2 linked regions of the Daphnia pulex genome follow. The protein of the gene in region 1 binds, or shares a complex with, the protein of each later gene. Links are inferred from orthologs where the notes say so. Each region holds a gene or a part of one and is shown on either strand. Other genes may lie near its edges.

Evidence for each region.
Region 2: the proteins of microprocessor complex subunit DGCR8-like (region 1) and enhancer of rudimentary homolog are in contact, whole or in part, in a crystal structure (PDB 7CNC), measured with the Homo sapiens proteins. The link is inferred for Daphnia pulex from reciprocal best matches to the Homo sapiens genes DGCR8 and ERH. Residues at the interface, in NP_073557.3 of Homo sapiens: Lys107, Phe108, Ser109, Pro110, Asp111, Leu112, Leu114, Leu115; in NP_004441.1 of Homo sapiens: Val8, Pro10, Thr11, Thr18, Tyr19, Ala20, Glu27, Lys34, Met35, His39, Arg42, Met43, Phe60, Leu64.

The regions. Positions count from the first base shown.
Region 1 is NC_060024.1:13,485,166-13,489,644, forward strand, and holds the start of microprocessor complex subunit DGCR8-like, read right to left. Parts: upstream 3,019-4,479; 5' UTR 2,605-3,018; coding exon 2,328-2,604; intron 2,263-2,327; coding exon 2,143-2,262; intron 2,069-2,142; coding exon 1,926-2,068; intron 1,863-1,925; coding exon 1,600-1,862; intron 1,535-1,599; coding exon 1,250-1,534; intron 1,184-1,249; coding exon 1,068-1,183; intron 998-1,067; coding exon 792-997; intron 728-791; coding exon 624-727; intron 562-623; coding exon 405-561; intron 330-404; coding exon 135-329; intron 107-134; exon of another isoform or gene 29-106; coding exon 1-28. Other genes in the region: RNA-binding protein 1-like, read left to right, coding at 3,571-3,779, 3,844-3,987.
Region 2 is NC_060018.1:8,869,715-8,872,579, forward strand, and holds enhancer of rudimentary homolog, read right to left. Parts: upstream 1,341-2,865; 5' UTR 1,240-1,340; coding exon 1,237-1,239; intron 1,158-1,236; coding exon 949-1,157; intron 806-948; coding exon 706-805; 3' UTR 592-705; downstream 1-591. Other genes in the region: probable ATP-dependent RNA helicase DDX28, read right to left, coding at 1-119; transmembrane protein 267-like, read left to right, coding at 1,779-2,075, 2,138-2,476. UniProt on the Homo sapiens protein: May have a role in the cell cycle.

The sequences.
Region 1 (4,479 bases):
TGAAACGGCCAATCGGCTGCACTGCTTCCTATAAACAGAAAACTTCAATGAAAAAGTGCCATGTATCCAATAAATTTAATGTAAATAAATTTTCTGTTCCAACAAATATCCCTATCACAGCTGCCGTTGCGTACCCTCATCTGTCGTAACTTCAACATTTCTTGTCTAAGCTTGTTCAGAATGGCGTAATTGGGCGCGTTGACAGCTGCTTTGCTTTGGAGTAGAGTGATTTGCTGTTCTTCTTGTTTCTTCTCTTTTACTGTTTTAAGCGAATGTGAACCATAAAGACGAAGCAATGAACCCCAACTAGAAATGTGAGGATGCAGCGCCTTCTCCCAGATGAAGAAAAACAAATCGCAAAATTTAAAAATCTGAAACTGATGTTCAAGTTGATTACAATTCACCTGCAATATGGCCTGGGCTGCTCTTTGCTTTCCATCTCTTTTATTCTTGCATGGTACTTGAACTGTATGCTTTCCAACCGTCATTATTACTTCGTTTTTCTGATGTTTCAATGTTTTGAGCTCGTACTTGACGTTCTTATCGCCTAAACCAAAGTTTCTGCAACATTCATAATTATTGAAAATCGTTCAATACGCTAAAGAGAAAAACTGTTGAATCACCTTTGAAGGCATGTGAGGAGGATTGCGTAAGGGGATGGTTCGCTCGTTTTTGCACACAGTTCGGCAACGCGAGGGTCTTCTATTCGAATTTCGTTGAAAAACTGCTTTACAATAAACGGTAAGTAACACCATTCAATGCATCTAATAGCAAAATTAAATGCAACGTACGGATAGATCTAAGTCAGACTGATGATTTGGTCCCTTGTGACCTGGTTCCGCCTCGTCCAATATTTTTTCCTTCATCTGTGGAATAAGAACTTCTAGTGTCGCTTTCGCTGCTTCCGCCTTGGCGGCTTTCTTACTCGAACCGACCCCAGTACCGTACTGCATTCCATTAATCAATACCGTAGCACTATAAGGCGTTGCTGCATTCTCTGTCGAACAAAAATTACCCGATAAAACAATGAAAACAAAAATCGTTGCATTATGGGCAGTCGAATATACCAATTTCTTTAAATGTATAGGCAGGTTGCTTCTTAAGGGCATGTTGAACGTATTCATGGAGGATGCAAACGTAACTTTTCCCTGCCGGATTCATAATCCATTCCCGTCGCGATCCACTGTGAGATTTACAAACAAGAAATTGTTATCACAATTGAAGCCTTCAATATATAATGTTTACTTACCCATTAGCTCCACCAGCAGCACCTTGTCCTTCGCTTTGGGAGGTCGGATCGTTGTGTGTTGCCGGAATGGAATGTCCGATAGGGAAGGTTATAAGTTTGGTCCCTTTAGGTAAAGTTGGTCGACCCAGTTCAGCCGTCTGTGACAATTTAGCATCGTCATCCTCAACAGGGCTTTGGCTTGAGCCAATCACTTGTTTCTTATCCTCATTCAAGGAAAGACCAGATTGGGGGTAAATCTGTCGTTGTTTCCGCAGTTTGGTGTGCTTTCTCCTAGCTGCCCATGTTCTGTATGAATTTTTTAACGATGAATGAATGAGTAGGTATTAATAAGATTTAAGCAAATTACTCACTTAAATCGCATAAGGCGGACGGTTTTAAAATCAAATCGTTTGGAGCAGTATTCGCGCAGCTGAACTCCATTGAGAGAATGTGCTGCCTGATTCTCTTGGACTGATTCGATCCGAGCACAGGGGATATCAGGGGCAACATGAGCAGTACCATCTGCTGCAGTGTTAGCTGAGGCCTCTAATAGCTCTTCGGATTTCTGTTCTTCTTTCTCCTTGGCTCTTTGGTAATGTAGGCAAGGTACGGCGCTAATTGGCACTGCATGTTTCTAAAGATCGGAACTCGGGAGTTTAAATAGAAACAAAAAAGTAATGTTTAATTTAAAAATTACTCTGGCACTTCCAGGTCCAAGGAAGTAAGGCTTAGCAAGGGTGCAAACCCGTGTAGGTTTGTGAAGGTAGATAGGCATTCCACTGTTGTGTGTAACTTGGACCCAATTTTCAGGCAAAACTTCGAAATGGTTCTTACCCTTTTCTTAAAAACACAAAATAAAAATTAAAAAACTTTTTTAAATTAAATGTTTTTAAGGAATAACCTGAAAGTGTTACCTTCAAGAACAATTTTTTCTTTTTCTTCATATGCCATACTTGCATCCCCATTACCAGATGGCTTGGAAGAACCATCTGATTTTTTGAACTTTTTCCTAGATTTCATTTCTTCTGGTAAACCTTAAAAGTTACAAGTTACAGGTAAAAAATATCCACAACAAATGTCATATAGTTTGTAAAGTTACCTTCTTCCAACATAGCATCAATTTCATCTTGTTGTATATCAAAATCTTCTTCACTGTCTGCTTCATTGGAACTGCTGAAATCACTCTCTGAATTTTCCTTACACTCATCGTCATCATTAGCGTTGCTTTCAACTATTTCATCTAATACATGAAACTCTCTCATATTACTGAAATCTTTGTACAGTCCATCTGCGTCATCTTCTTCGGGATCAATATCATCCACTAGTTGAGAACCTTCCAAAATATCTTTCATCTCTTCCATTTCAAATTCTGTCATGCACAGAGTAGAAACCAAACTTAAGATAAGGTGTGGAATTGGAAATCCACAAATAAAGTTAACTGGTCTTAATATCTATGAATTACAATGTGTAAATGGAAGAATGAGCATCTACATCATAGGCCTTGTCTTCTGAGAAAATCAAAATCGAACACACATCAATAGCATTCGGGAAGATTTTCCTCAAACTTGGCAAAGCAATGATATAGTGCTATCGTATTTCGACGTGACGGATGAAGAACCGCTTTTATTTGTATATAATTGGATTTATATTAGCAACTATAGTTTTAAAGTAGAATGCCAATATTAGTTCAAAACTTCAAATCAAAATAATAATTTGATTCAATAGAATCGTCAAAGGATGAATAACTCGAGTTTGTTTGTAAAAGATTTCTAAAAAAATATGGCTTAGCAGACGAACTTTTTTCGAAAATCAATCTGTTGTTGCCTCGTCTACAACGCCATCTAAAGACGATCTAATTGTAATAAAAAATTCTAATATAAATCTGATAAAAATATCCTTGATTAAAAATTGCACAATATTCCAAATACAAACTTAAAATCATACTTTTTTGTCTTTTGCAAAAATGTTTTTGTTGATTTTGTTGCCGCATGGCAGCGCTGATTTTCCATTTTGTTGACAGCTTTATGACGTAGTCAGTTTTCACTCCGCTTCAGGTTACTCTTAATCTAGCATCTCGTTGAAAACGATACTGAAACCAAATTTGCTAAAGAAAATACATTCAAAATTCCGGAACAAGAAAGGTAGTCACAACATTCTTCTTTATTGTTGTTTGTTAGTTCATTTTTGTGTATGCAATTGTTTTTCTGTGCATTTCATTAGAGATGCTTTTTATGTTTTTGGTGATGCCTTTGGTCGGGCTAGCCAAGCAAGATGGCGGTTAATCGAGCATAGTTATTTTCAAACCCAGATTTCAACATCAAAATTTTCATTTCCTCTTTAGAATGTCGCGTCATCGTGAATGGGATTTGAAATGCAAAGTCTATGTTGGCAATCTGGGCAATAACACAGCCAGAGGTGACTTGGAAGCTTCATTCAGCAAATATGGAGCCTTGAAAAATGTTTGGGTTGCCCGAAATCCCCCTGGCTTTGCATTTGTTGAGTATGAGGATCCCAGAGATGCTGAAGATGCAGTTAGAGCCATGGATGGATCGTAAGAAACCAAATTACATACAATGGTAATTAATTATGTAAAATTAATTATTGACTTCTCGTAGGAGGATTTGTGGTTCTCGTGTGAGGGTGGAGATGTCTTCTGGCAGAGCCAGAGAGAGGAATGGACCCAGAGGAGGAGGTGGTGGTGGTGATCGCGGAGGTGATCGCCGCGGAGGGCCCCGTGGCGGTGCCGATTTCCGCGGAAGGTACGGTTAAAAATAATAAATTCTAACTTTTTTTTTTTACTTTTGAATTTCAATCAAATTGATTATTAAATATCAAATTTTATATATATATATATCGGAGCTGCTTATTTAAATCAAAACCTATTGCTTTCACAGGATTTTTTCATTTGATTTACTACCCCACTACCCCATCCATACAGCCGTAGTATTTGGTTGAAAAAAAAAAAAAAAAATAACATACCCCCTCTTTGTTTCTGGTTAACTGCTGCGGCACATGTTTGCCTGCCAACAACCACAAGTCTCTCCCCTTGTCGTCCACCAACTCAGCTCAATCAGCTCAGCTCAGCGCCGTCCTCAAGCGCCGCCATTCTTTTTTCTTGGCGGAGCAAAATGAAACAGAGCATAGCCAGCTTTCGTCCATCCATCCATCCAACCACACCCACACACCAGCTACCTCCAGGCTCTGTGGACGCGGGCGGGTAGAGAAATCTACCACGTCGATCAGCTCTTGAT
Region 2 (2,865 bases), on another chromosome or scaffold:
AAATCTTTTACCATTTTTTTGTGCCATTTTCTTGGCATTGTGATTGTCTCTGGTTTTGAAACTGTCGATATTGCACGACTAAATAATTTCAGCGACTTCATTACGAGAAATCGTTCCATGTTGAATTGGTTGCTTCTTATAGGAAGTAAATTAAACTTGCTCAATTTTATACCTATAAATAAGCTGGATGCACGATGCACACATGTACAGCACACACCATTGCAGCCGACACAACAGATGTTTCATTACTCTCTTTAAGCTTTCTAGATGGTCTTCCATGTAAGTTTCACTGTTTCTAGAGAATTATTTCATGGACATCCCCTTTAAATGATCTCTGCCTAAGTAATAAAGTTCAACAAAACATCATCATACAAATAAAAAAAACAATTAACATATTTATTTACTTGTACTTGGTAGGATTTGCGACATTCATTTATTTAGACCCTTAGACTGAATGACGAAAATGACGTCCGAATGACGCATATCCGTGCCTTAGGCCTTAGCTTAATATTATAAAATGTGATAAAAGAGGTTTAACCTGTTTCAAAACAAGTTGGAGAAATAAAATTAATCATTGCAATTTCCAACACATTTACAGTTTTAAGATTGTTCTGCCTCTTTGTCAGAAACATTTTATTGAACGTCACAATTTCGGGGTTAAGAGAAAAACAGAAGTATAAACGGAAAGATGAATGAAATTTCCCATTAAGGAGCTTTAGCTGCTTGACGTCTCAACAAAATGTAGATTTTTTCTTTAATCCAGTCCTTATTGTATGGAGCATAAGTATTGCTGATCTTCTGGTACCTGAAATAAAAATAAACATGGAATTAGTTCCCTTTAAGAATTTAAATCAATGAAATGAAATAAATAATTGAAAATTATATTTTTTTAAGGGTTAATCATTAATTCAAAAGGTGTCTTTTCAATAATATAAAATGAGCCCTTACACTAGGCAGGAGAGATCGGTCAACTGATCAATGAAGTCAAACAATTGGCTGATATCATATGTGATGCTAGGAGTGTTTGGATTCAGTCTTTTTAAATGCTCTTCGTAGATTTTACAAACACCTTCCATACATTCGTTTACTGATTCATAATCAGAATACGTTCTCGTCTCCGGCTTGGGTCCGGGCTGGACTAGTAAGATCGTGTGAGACTAAAAATGTGGTATAGGAAAAATACATTAACTTATCAATTCCAACAGCAGGAAGCGTTTTTGTTTCAAATTAACTAACCATTTTTGTTTCTGTCTTGGAACGTTGTTTTAAAATCTTTAAATTCGCATCCAGGTTTGTTTTCTCGGAAAACTTTCAGTGCAGTTTTTTGGAGAAGCCTATTGTTAAAACGTTGCATAATTTCAAAATAGATGCAATCGCGCAATGAAGTCAGAAACAAATAAAAAGATATAAAGTCAGAAATCGTTAATATCTAACTTCCAAAAATTTAATTAAAATAATTACAATTTTTAAAGAAGTTTAAATTGACATGTATCAAAATTATTTTACGAATAAAATAAAGATAGTATAATTTAGCCTTTAGGGGCAATATGGCAACTTCCCGTCTTTTCAAAACAAACCAGCAAAACAAATATAATATACCGTCTCTAACCATTATTAATAAAGAAAAATTAAATCGGGAAATCGTAAACAGAAGTGCCCAATTTGCTTTGCTATCTGTATATATTATGCCTTAAAGTGAGACGTAATTTTTGTTTAAACTTAATTGATATGGCAACCAGTTTTCCATAAGAATTCCGTTAAATTTTGTGTCGGGAAAAATGAAGAGTAAAATGAAGAAAATGAAGCATTATAAAAGGATTAACCTTTTTGTAATACCAGTTACAGCTATAGCTGGGGATACTATCACCCAGTACATGTACCCCTACATATCGTTACTACTTAAATGCATAACTGATAGTGCCACTCATTTCCTTATAGCATCACTTTCGTGGAATTATGTAGACAATGTGTCATTCAATAAAAGAATTAATTTTGTTGCCATTATTATATGTGGATCAATGGCTTCTGCAATTGATATTGATCATTTTTTGGCTGTTGGAACTACCAGTCTTGAAGTAAATATTCATACAAATTCCAGTTTAAGTTTTTTAATCTGAGTAAATCCCATTTTCTACAGGAAGCTACATCTCTGCCTCACAGACCAGTTTTACATTGCACAAGTCTGTTTACAGTTGTTGCTCTACTATTGGCCTTACTTTCCATCAGAATTCATTCCATCTGTCTTCTCAAAATGTCTGTAATTATTGTTACTGCTACTTGGACTCATCATTGGAGGGATGGATACAGACATGGAATTTGGATCTGCCCAATTGGTTCCACTCCACCTTATTCATACTTTGTTTACCTCATCGGCCTTATAGTTTTGCCTATAGGTTTGCAATTTGGCTTGAAGTTTATCACTGACATAGTCACAAAATCGAACGTAAAACACGTAGCACCGATATTTTTAATATAAATTTCAGCTTCCCCATTTACTGATCTTGATAAGTTAATGCAGAATGTCTTGTTTTTGTGTTTCTCTTCTACTACAGCACTTAGTGGTTACAGTTAATAAGCAAAAAATATAAATTTATTATCTACCATTTGTTTTGGATTGTTAAAAGCAGGTTTTGTGCAATGAAGTAACTGCACGCATAGAACATTAATAAGCTACGAACGAATCTACTAATCTAGTGATTTCGTGGTCTGTTAAATTTGATCGGTGACGCGATCCATTAATACGATGGTTCATGGTTGTCTTTGTTATTATTTTAAAGGTTTATACGTGCGTCGTTCTTAGATTTAATGTCACTGCGTCAGCATGCCGTCAGTGAACTAATTATAAATGAATGCCTAATGAAAGCA